Linked DNA regions of Sus scrofa. The protein of the gene in region 3 interacts with the protein of the main gene of each other region in a pairwise test. Links are inferred from orthologs where the notes say so. Each region holds a gene or a part of one and is shown on either strand. Other genes may lie near its edges. The genes, in order: RNF183, FOSL2 and GOPC.

Region 1 (3,650 bases), about 210 Mb from region 3:
GAGATCTTTGCCAGGGACCTACAACCTCCCAAAGTCCACAGCTATTTTCCAGACCATGCTAGGCGAATCTAAATCCTGCAATCATTTCAGCATTTATTTTTCCATGCAATGTTGATATATTTAAAATGAAGGGATTAGATCAATAAGGGAGTGGTTAAGTAATTTCTGATACAGCCATTCAATGAACTATGATACAACCATTAAACACCTGAGAAAGCTCATTATATACTAATACAAAATGATGTCTCAGATACATCAAGTTAAAACAAGGTGTAAAACCATGTATACCATATGCACTTTAGTGTACAAAGGAGGAAAAGGAATACACAGACACCTCATCATAGGAGTTTGGTGTATTCATAAAGCTTCTTTGGAAGGACAGATGAGAAATTTATAGTATAATACCTTAATTTTCAGGGAAACGGGTAGTTGGGAGAAGAACATTTTCACTGCAAACTCAAACCTTTCACATGATGAATATGTAAATATATTACCATTTTTAAAATTAAAAGTGTTGGGAGTTCCCTGGTGGCCTAGTCACTAAGGCTCAGGTGTTGTTACTGCAATGGTCTGAGTCACTGCTGTGGTTCATATTCAATCCCTGGCCCAAGAACTTCTGCATGCTGCAGCATGGCCAAATAAATAACTAAAAATAAAAATTTTTAAATAAAATATAAAATGTTTAAAACAAAATAAAGGGACTAGGGCATTTGATTCCATCACCAGTCAAATGCATTTATTTGTTTATTCTCTACACTCCATTTAAATGGTCAATAAAGGAATAAAAAGAGGATGGTAAGTCCTGAGAATAGGAGATGGAACAAAAATGTATCTTTAGGGGAAGACAGTGAGGCAATGGCACAGATTTCAGAGCCAGATTTGCAGTCTGGCTCTTTTAAGTTGCTTCTCAAGAGCTCTTGGGCAAATAAATCCCTTACTCGCTTTGAGCTTCTGATTCCTTATCTATGGAAGAGTAAGGACAAGTCTTACTATATGTGTTCCATATTGTGCCTCTTGGGAGTGTCTGGAGGTCATAGGTCAGAAGCATTTACTAAAGCACATAGTAGAAAACTATCATTACTTTCAATAATAATAGTGGGGTTTTAGCTACTATTATTTTGTTTATTTTTTGAAAGCAAATTTCTGGTCATTTTATTAGAAATTGTTGATAATTTTGTCTTTTTTTTTTTTTTTTGTCTTTTTGCCTTTTCTAGGGCTGCTCCTGCGGCATATGGAGGTTCCCAGGCCAGGGGTCCAATTGGAGCTGCAGTTGCCAACCACGGCAACATGGGATCCGAGCTGTGTCTGTGACCTACACTGCAGCTCAGGGCAAGGCTGGATCCTTAACCCAATGAGCAAGGCCAGGGATTGAACCCGCATTCTCGTGGATGCTAGTCGATTTCATAACCCACTGCACCACAGTGGGAACTCCAGAGCTACTATTATTTTAATGTTTTTCAGTCTGATAGGAAAAATAGCAGTATCTTATTTAAATTTAAATTTGAATTTCTCTAATTGTAAATGAGGTTGAATAACTACAAATATATTCCATTTGTATTTCTTTTTCTGTGATTTGCCTGATCACATCATAATAATTAATATTTACTGCATGTTCCTGTGTACCAGGCACTGTGTTATGATCTCTGCATGCATTGTCTCATTTCACCTGCCAAGCAAATAGGTAAAATTATTACACCCATTTTCAGGTAAGAAAACCAATATTTGAGAAGTGAAGTTGCTCACATCTCCATTGCTAGTAAGTAGAGTCTGGATTCTGAGCGAAGACTTGCCTCTGACCCAGAAATCTGACTTGATTGGGAACCCAGGCTCTTCAGGTTTATGCTTAAACGAGTCTCCCCTGATTGTTTCCCTATTGGATTGTTTGCCTTTTCTTAATGTTTTACAAGCGCCCTTTGTATTTTGGTTGTAGGGCTCGGAATAGGGAAGGATCCATCCAAGCTGAGGAGCAGAAGTGACTTCAGCGGCGCCCTGCCTGCCCGCCAGCGTAAGGCAATGTGTGAGCCAAGGCGGTGTAGTCAGAGGGGATGGCAGGAGACCAGCCCAGCGCAGAACAGAGGCCTGCAAAGATGAGTGGACTTCGACCCCCTTAGAGAAAAAGCAAGAGTGACTCACAGGAGGAAGATGTAACCAAAGCTTCCAGGCTGTCTGTCCCCCGTAAGCCCAGACAGTCCAAAGTCAGCAAAGGGGAGAGGAGGAAAACCTGAGCTGGAGAGCTGGCCAAGAGCTGCCTGAAGACCATGCAAATGAGACCCGCCCACAACTGCCTGGAAACCAGGCCTGGAGAAGCCAGAGCCCAGAGCACAGGCTGCAGGGCTGCGTTCGGGAAAGGAGGAGGAGGAAGTGGGCGAGATTCCGAGGGTGCAGGTAAGGAGCTGGGAGGGTCTTGGAGGGTCAGGTCACAGAACCCAGCCGTCCAGAGAGGCAGCATCCAACAGGTGCACACCAGCCTGGGAGTCAGGGCTCCTGGAGGCAGCTTTCAAGCTCAGCCATTCTTTAGCTGTGAAGCCTTGGGCAAGTCACTTCACCCTTCTGAGCCTTGATGCTCCTGTGTATAGAATGGGTGTAAAAATATCATGCTAACTACTTATTGAGCATCTGCTGTGCTTTGCTGGGCACATAACACGACATTCTCCCTTCCTCGCAGCAAGTTCATAGGGTGGGATCATAAGCCTATATTACAGAGGAAAATGAAGCTCAGAGTGGTTAAGCCATTTGTCTAAGACCTCACAGCAAAGAAGTCTGGTTCCAAAACTGTACACTTTCAACTCCTGATCCTGCTTCCTTCAGAAGGTGTTTTAAAGGATCAAATGGTTTAGGCAGATGGAAAAAAGTTGTAAAAGGCAATTACACTGTCTAGTTGTAGGTTACCACACTTAAGACCCTGGCCGGGACTGAGGACCTTGGTAAACTGGGAAGTGCTGTAAAAATACTCGTTCTTCACCTCTCCCCTCTGGAGGTCAAAAGGGTTGCAGTGATGCTACAGACAGTTGATATTTGGCTGACTGACCCGCTCACAGGCTAAGGCTGTATACCCGTGGGGGTGGTATTGGGATGTCCTGGCTTGAGGGTGAGGGGTGGGTGGATAAGTGGCCAGAGTCTGAAACCACAGCAAGGCCTGAGGGGCCCATGGCAGATAAGGGCCCAGGTGCCGATGCAACAGTGATCTTCTCCTCTTGAATGGCCCTTTACAGCTTTGGCCGTGGAACTTTAGACAATGTAAGTCTGCTTTGTGGGGAGGGAGCTCTTGAAGGGTAGTAATACAGGCATGCTGCAGTAAAGTTAGAATTTTCAGATAAGACAATTAAAAACAAACCAACCTATAATCCTACCCCCAGAGATAACCTCTGTTGACATTTTGGTGTTTGATTTTCTAGACATATTTTCCATTGCACACATCTATTGAAAAGTTGGATTGGATTGTAATATGGTTTTATGACTGGTTCTTTTCACTTAATGACATGTCATGAACGTATTTCCATGCCCTCGGCATGCGGAAGTTCCTAGGCCAGGGATTGAACTGGAGCCAAAGTAGTGACACCACCAGATCCTTAACCACGAGGTCACCAGGGAACTCTGAGCAGAACCTATTTAATCAGGGTCCTCCTGCTATTGGATAATTGCCAGTTTTC
Region 2 (3,750 bases), on a different chromosome or scaffold from region 3:
TAAAACTATAAGTGGAACAGGAAATATTTTTCATGCTTCAAGTTCCTGCCATATACAAGAACAGAGGTTTTTAACAAAGAGTTATCTGCACCCCCTTCCCCCCAAGTCCCTGGGACTCCTGGCCATGTGTTAAGATCAAACTTTACCAAGTGAGAGAGGAGAAGAAAGCCCTGTGTGGGGTGGACAGCAACAAACTGCTCAGGAATATTAGACCCCACCAACAAAGCAAGCTGGAAAAAATAATATTCACTCGCCCAAGGTAAAACCAGAGACCCCTCTTACATGGTTTGGTCCACTGAGACGCCACTGGAGGAGGAGGGCCCATCCCTAACTGCCAGGAAAAGTCTCCCTCTCCCCGTAAAGGAAGCTAAGAGAAATAAAGTGATTACAGGTTTTATCTGGTATGTAATAAAGTTACCTTGAGCCTGGGTGGGGTCGTAGCCCAGACTTGTGAAGTAACAAAAACCTCTCACGTCAGTCCTTAGGACCACAGAACAGCTCTGCTCCAAGTCAGAGAGATGATGGGAAAACCCTCCCCTCTTCCCACCCACCCCCCAAGAGTGGACAGGCCAAGAAACTCATCCAAAGCTGAGTTACCTTGCCAATCCCTCCGGTTTGAAAGGTGCCTCACTCAAGCTGCTGGGCCGAATGGGCAAGCATATATGCAAGAACCCCGTGCAGCAGTTATTACTAATTGCAAAATCCTCATGTGTTGCAGCATGCTAGGAATTAGCCAACAGCTGCTTTTTGCTTTGGTAATGAGGCCCCATTACACTCTGCTGGACTGAGTTCTCTTCCTTCTTCCTAGCACTGGTTTCCTGTCTGATTTTCTTCCAAAACAGGGAATTGCCTCCGCTTGCATCCTGGGCTCAAAGCCCTAGTGACACAGATTATTCAATCGGGGCACTGATGTCCGGTCGGACTTCCCATCCAGGCCCCAGGGTCTGAGCAAAGCCAGGCGGCGACGTTGTAACATTTCAGTGATGACTGCCATAGAAACAGCAGCCAAAAGAGCAGATGAGACATCAGAAGATTCCCTTCCCATCGGAGAACGGAGATGGGGGGGGGGGGTGCTGTGGAAATGGAGACTGAGGGAATGGGTATAAATGACTCCCACCCGCTGCTTAATGATATCTGGATTCAATACAAACCACCAATGGGGCTGGAGAGCAAACAAAAATCAAACACTTTGGGACAAGACTTGAAATGCATCACCTTAGTGCTCAGTATTAGGGGTGCTCTGACCGTACCCTCAATGCACCAACCAGGTTCTCTACAGTGGGGTGCTAAAGGGGACACCGGGGCAGGTAAAAAGAAGACACAGAAAAGCCATTTTAAGGACTCACCAGGTATGGGGAACCACTTTGGAATAAGAGACCCCTCTTCAGATACCAAAGAGAGCCCCCTTTCCATTTTATTCTCCCTCAGGGTCCCTCCTCCCCAGAAGTCCACCCCAGGCCCTCCTGGTTGGCTGGCTTATAGAAGCCAAAGCCATCATCATCTTACCAGCGCAACTCGAGACAGCCAACTTGCCTAGAGACTCTGCAGATCCTGACCGAGGCGGGCTTCAGGTTCCAGCAACCTTGTTGGTTAAGCCAGCTCCCTCCCAAGAGTGGGGGTCGGGGGGTGGGGGGGAGTGGTGGCTGCAGAGGGCAGGCACCCCACGAACACCACCAACCCAGCAGCACCTTTCTGGTATTTATTCCGGTATTTATAGACACACAGATCTCAGGCAAAATCCCTCTGGTGCAAACCAGTCCGCCTGCTTTAGAAACAAGTTGTTTTCCGGCTTCCAGAACCACCCAGGAGCCTAAGCGAGGTCTCATCCACCGCCCCCACCGCCCCCCCACCGTCCCCTCTCTGCAGGCGTCCTGGCCCCAGATATTCCCAGACCCCCAAGGCGCCCCTTCTGGTCGGCTGTGCAGGCTCCTTCTGTGACCCTAACAGGAGATGGATGGGCGCGGGGGAGAAAGGCGCAGCCTGAGCCAATCAAGGCTGACCTCCTCCTTCCTGACCTTCGCACCTGATTCCCAGAGCGACAACCCTCGCCCTCGCTCCGGATTACTTGAAGGAGCCCATTTTTCCCAGTCCCCAAGTTCTTTCAGAAATGAACGAAGACCGAAGGAGAGAGGGCTTTTTCGCAGGAATAAGGTCCCTGGATGTCGGGAGGTGCCCGTGGGTGCAAAGATTTTTTTTGGAGGGGGGTCTAACCACGGGGTTCCTGCGAGAGAGGTACAGGGTCCTGGGGAAAAGGCCCTGCAATTCCAGGAGCTTGTCTGTATAGGATGTAGTGTGAAGGCGAGGGTTTGTTGGCTCTCCAGCCCACTCGCCGCTCTAGTTTAAAAAAAAAAAAAAAAAAAAAAAGTGTTGGCGGGGGATGGGGGAAGGTTAAAGGAGGTGTCAGGAGGACAAGATGAAAATCTAGAACTTACAATGGAGGCCGCAAGAATTTTCTCGCCAAATCAAGAAAGGGAAAAGAAAGGGGGGGAAAAAAGGCAGTCCTGGCGAGAGGAAGGCGGGGGGTCCACCCGCGGCGCCAGGTGCACCCGGGGCCCGCACCTACCTGCTGGCCGCCGCCGCCGCTGGAGTAGGACTCGGCGTGCGCAGGAGAGCCGCTGCTGCCCCGGGACGAGGTGTCAAAGTTCCCGGGATAATCCTGGTACATGATCCGCGGTGGGGGCCCGAGAGGAAACAGGGTGTTTTTCTTCCCCCGCCCTCGCCGCGGCCGCGCACCGGCAGCTGCGCGCTGGCTCCCTGCCGGCCGCGCCTGGGGCTCTAAGCGTCGCTCCCGGGCTTCTCCCCCTCGGCGGCGGCACTCCGAGAACAGTGCCCCCCGAGCGCCGAGCGCTGCACTTCTTTCCTGCTCTACGAGCGCCGCGGGACCAGTTGTCCACCCGGTCCCTCCCTCTAAAAAGTCCGCGCGTCCCTCGGTCCCTCCCCTGCGCGCGCCCTCCTGCCCCCGCGCGCAATCAGAGCCCAGCCGGGACCGCCGGCTCAATCAAAAATTGGAAATTAAAAAAAGAATAGGAGCCCGGCGAGTCAAGCCTGCCAGGTCTGGGGGCCCCCAATTTCAGACAGGGCAAAAAAGGAAGAAAAAAAAAAAAAGGCGAAAAGAAAGGCTGCCCGCTTGGAGAAACTTCTATTTCCTCCTTTTAGAAAAGGAGCTGAGAATAAACTTCCTGTGGCCGACTCGCCGCCGGAGTTTCGAGCGGCAGGGACACTTGATTAGGTGAAGGCAGCCCGCCCCGCGGCCCGTGGGGTTCCAGCTGAGCTGACGCGGAGAGGGACGCGGGCCCGCTCCCCTTGCGGCGGCTCCGGCGCCCGGACCTGCACCCCTTCCCCGGCGCCCGCTCCCGGACGGGCCCGCCTCGCCCGTCCGCGCCTCTCTCTCTCCCTCTCTCTGTCCCCGCCGAGCGCCGCTTGCTTGCTCGCTGGTTCGCTCGGAGCCCCAGCGCTCTGCCCGAGATGAGTCACTACAATGGCACGAGTTCAACTCCACTCTTTATTCTCCAGCCCCTGTACCTCACGTCAACCCAAGACTCCACCTTGCGGGAGGAGCGCTAGGGGAGGCGGAGGGAGAGGGCCGAGGAGGAGGAGGGGGAAGAGGAGGAAGAGGCGCGGGAGGAGGCGGGCGCAGCACTCCCCTCCCTGCCCGGGCTCCCGGCCGCGCTGACGCCAGCCGCACACCCTGCGCGAGGAAGGAAGGAGGTGGAGGGGGTGGGAGCGCTGTGAGCGCGGTTTGGGGGACCC
Region 3 (3,650 bases):
CTACCCTGGCATACTACACTGATAATCTAACAAACATCTCAATGTACTAATGAACACCTCTCTAATTCTGTCAACCCTATTCTTGAAGGAAAAAACCAAAAAAAAAGCATCTTAAGTACTCTGGATACGAAATATGATCCCTGGATATGAATCTGAACTCTATAATGTATTTGTTCTGCAACGCTGAGTAAATCATTTAATTTCTAAGAAGCTTAGTCCACTTATTTTAAATAATAAAGTTGGGCTAAATGATTTCTAAGGACCCTTCAGTTCTAACATTTATGACTTTAAAGTTGATCCACTTCTAGTACTGTTTGTTCTGTAGCACTTCATATTTGTACAGTGTTTTAGTCATTAGTGATGTTCTGTTTCTAAGTTTTGAACACTTTATATACATTAACATACTTATTAATCCTTACAGCTCTCAGATAAAGACACTGCAGCACAAAGAACTTAAGTAACATACTCAAAGGTATACAACTGTAAAGAAAAGCAAATAAAAATTTTTTCCAGTAAATCTGGTTGAATATCTTTTATAAAAGCTCAAGTCAAAGGAAACTAGTATCTATATATAAACACTTTACTACCTGAGAAACCTCCTAGGAAAGTATAAGGCATTCAATAGATTCAAAAAGGTAACAACTGATAGATCCAATTTTAGTTACATAAAGAGAACTTACTTGCTGGGAAAGAATGGTTACAGCTTCTTTATGCTTTGTGTCCCTTAGATTAACTCCATTAACAGCCAGAATTGCATCTCCAACATGCAGCCCTCCACATCTGTCAGCAGGTTGCCCTGGGTGGATCTCAGAAATGAGGATTGGAACGCCATGTTCCTTTCCGCCCTAACCAGGGGGGAAAAAAAAAAAAAAAAAAAGGCAGTAAATTAGTTCACCTTTGTGTAGTCAGACTATTCTGATAAATATTTTCCTATAGACCTATTCCAATAAGCACCTATACCGTCTCTATAAATGCTGAAACACTACTTGCTACTTAAGTAATGATAAATCAAATTGTTATGAATATCAAAGAGTTACCTCTAAGTAAAGTGATTAATATCATACATGTGCTTCTTAAAATGCATTCCAGAGCCAAAAGAAAAAAACAAAACAAAACTGAAAAACAAAAAACCAAAACAAACCTACAACCCAATTGGCTGAGCTCTCTTAAACATAAATAAAAATATCTTAAGTACTAGTAGTCCACAGCACTATTAGAATTTATCAGCTCTAAGTCACTATGAATAGTAAGACAATTACTTTATGTACCACAAAAGTAATTACAATATGAACCTCAATTTCACAGGTGTTAAAATGTGAAAAAATGTGCAAGCAAAATCATTGAAATGAGTACTTGATACATTTTACTTTCTAGCTTGCAATCATAATTGTGTGTGTATATATCTTAATTTTTCCTACTAAAACTTAATGCTCTTTGAGGGAAATGTATTCAAAAAGGGAAGTATTCAATAAATACCCATTATTTCTTTATTGTAAGAAACATTTCTACATTAAGCAATGCCAGAAAGCCAATGAACTTATGCAGTACCTAAATACAAAGCCATCTTATTCATTCATCTGGAACAAAGCACTGAATGGCAAAATGACTCTAAACATATGTATTTTATGTTGTCCAAGACAACAGTTTGTAAAGGCATCAACTTTAAAAAAGAAGAATGTCTGGACCCAAGAGCCACTGAAATCTGATAGAAATGAAACAAGAGATAGTAAGAAATACTCTAGAGAAAGGAACAGTACTGGCTGGAGCCATTTAGCACAGAAGAAAACAGTCATATCAATTCCCAAAAGCTCCTCCTACAGGCAGCACAGAACTAAATGACTTGAGTCATAATGAAAAAGATAAACAATGATTTCTAAAGTAATACTTTTACTACTTCACGGTTATTAGGAATATTTACGTACCCCTCAAAAAAGGTTTACACGAAAGTGTTGGTACCCACAGGGATAAATTCAGTTATTTAGAAAATACATTCAGGAGTTCCCGTTGTGGCGCAGTGGTTAACAAATCCGACTAGGAACCATGAGGTTTCGGGTTCAGTTCCTGGCCTTGCTCAGTGGGTTAAGGATCCGGCATTGCCATGAGCTGTGGTGTAGGTGGCAGACATGGCTCAGATCCCTTGTTGCTGTGGCTCTGGTGTAGGCCGGGAGCTACAGCTCCAATTAGACCCCTAGCCTGGGAACCTCCACATGAGGCGGAAGCGGCCCTAGAAAAGGCAAAAAGACAAAAAACAAAACAAACAAACAAACAAAAAAGAAAGTACATTCAGAATACTTTACTTCCCGATGATGTCCAAAAAAGGGGCATGATTATAATAGATAACTACAGAAAAGGAGACTGGAAGCACTACTTCTTACTGTAATTGAAATGCCAAGGCCTTCATGATCTTCCTTAAGAAGAAGAACTTTTCTAATTGGTCCAACTCCTTGGCTTTTCTTTAAAGAGTCTTGATCCTTATTGAGTGAAAAAAGAAAAAAATTAGTACCACATAAGTAATAATCCAAACAGAGTAATCCATAGTATTACAGCTTGCTTTTAGAAATATTTATTAATTTCCTATAATAGATACACAGTACAGTGTTAAGAAAGTCATTAACAGATAAAATGGAAAAGCAAAAATAGTTGTTCTGTTAATATGGTGAAATGTACAGATGATTTTTCTCACCCCCTTGTTAATTTCTTTAATACTGCTACAACTCTTTTTAAATTGAAGGACATTACAAAAGAAATTATTGCCAGGAATTAATTGATAAATAAATATCCTCAATAAGTAAGAGTAGGTAACTTTATCTTCATAGGAAAATATCCTAAAGATCTATATCCATTTCAACTGATTTGTAGAACTGAAAAACAAAATGCCAGCTGGATCATTAATTACTTTTTCATTCCTTTGAGTTCTGGAGTCTACCTCTTAAATAAAGGACCTTGCTCCATTAATAATTCTTTCTTGGGTAACTATACTCTTTCCTTCTCTACAAGCTCCTTCTTAATTCAGCTACTTCCTAATTCAAGCCTCATACAGCTTTAAAATACTGACCATGTACAAACAGAAAATAAGACAAATAAAAACTCCTCCATCACCCATTATCTTCTTTACCTACTCTCCTCCCTCAATCTTTCCTTAACCTTCACACAAAGCTAATCCTAGCTACAATAGCTTCCTGGCCTCCCACATTCAGTACTCCAACCCTGTAATTAGGGTTTTGCCCCTACCTGCTCCACACAAACTGGCTTCCCTACAGTCACTGGTAACCAAGACGGCTATTTCCAATGAATCCTTTATAGTCACTACCTTATTTGAACCTTACAGAAAGCTGATAGTGTTCATTACATCCCATCCCTGAAACCCTGTCTTTTCTATTACACTACTTTTCTAGATGCCCTGTATCTGACAGCCCTACCTCAGGCTCTTCCTTTGGTGATTCATGTCCTTCTTCTCCTACTCCGTAAAAGTCTCCTTACGTCTTTTTACTTTCTATATACTTTCCCTGAGTGACTTAATCAATTCCATGATTTTAATTTTTATAAAGGAGGATTTACCTAATACCTTCAATTCAGAGTTCCCTCTAGAATTCCAGAGTCACATATCCAATTGGATATAACTTGGCTGCACCACTGGCACCTCAAACACA

What was found.
Region 1: the proteins of GOPC (region 3) and RNF183 interact in binary tests that used the Homo sapiens proteins (3 or more experiments, as listed by UniProt). The two-hybrid records come from large-scale screens. The link is inferred for Sus scrofa from reciprocal best matches to the Homo sapiens genes GOPC and RNF183.
Region 2: the proteins of GOPC (region 3) and FOSL2 interact in a two-hybrid assay, tested with the Homo sapiens proteins (2 studies listed by BioGRID and IntAct). The two-hybrid records come from large-scale screens. The link is inferred for Sus scrofa from reciprocal best matches to the Homo sapiens genes GOPC and FOSL2.

What each region holds. Positions count from the first base shown.
Region 1 is NC_010443.5:253,932,201-253,935,850, reverse strand, and holds part of RNF183 (RING finger protein 183), read left to right. Parts: intron 1-1,930; 5' UTR 1,931-2,258; coding exon 2,259-2,385; intron 2,386-3,650. UniProt on the Homo sapiens protein: Acts as an E3 ubiquitin ligase catalyzing the covalent attachment of ubiquitin moieties onto substrate proteins. Triggers apoptosis in response to prolonged ER stress by mediating the polyubiquitination and subsequent proteasomal degradation of BCL2L1.
Region 2 is NC_010445.4:110,840,186-110,843,935, forward strand, and holds the start of FOSL2 (fos-related antigen 2), read right to left. Parts: upstream 2,532-3,750; 5' UTR 1,507-2,531; intron 1,481-1,506; exon of another isoform or gene 598-1,480; intron 1-597.
Region 3 is NC_010443.5:44,273,758-44,277,407, reverse strand, and holds part of GOPC (Golgi-associated PDZ and coiled-coil motif-containing protein), read right to left. Parts: intron 2,472-3,650; coding exon 2,376-2,471; intron 846-2,375; coding exon 681-845; intron 1-680.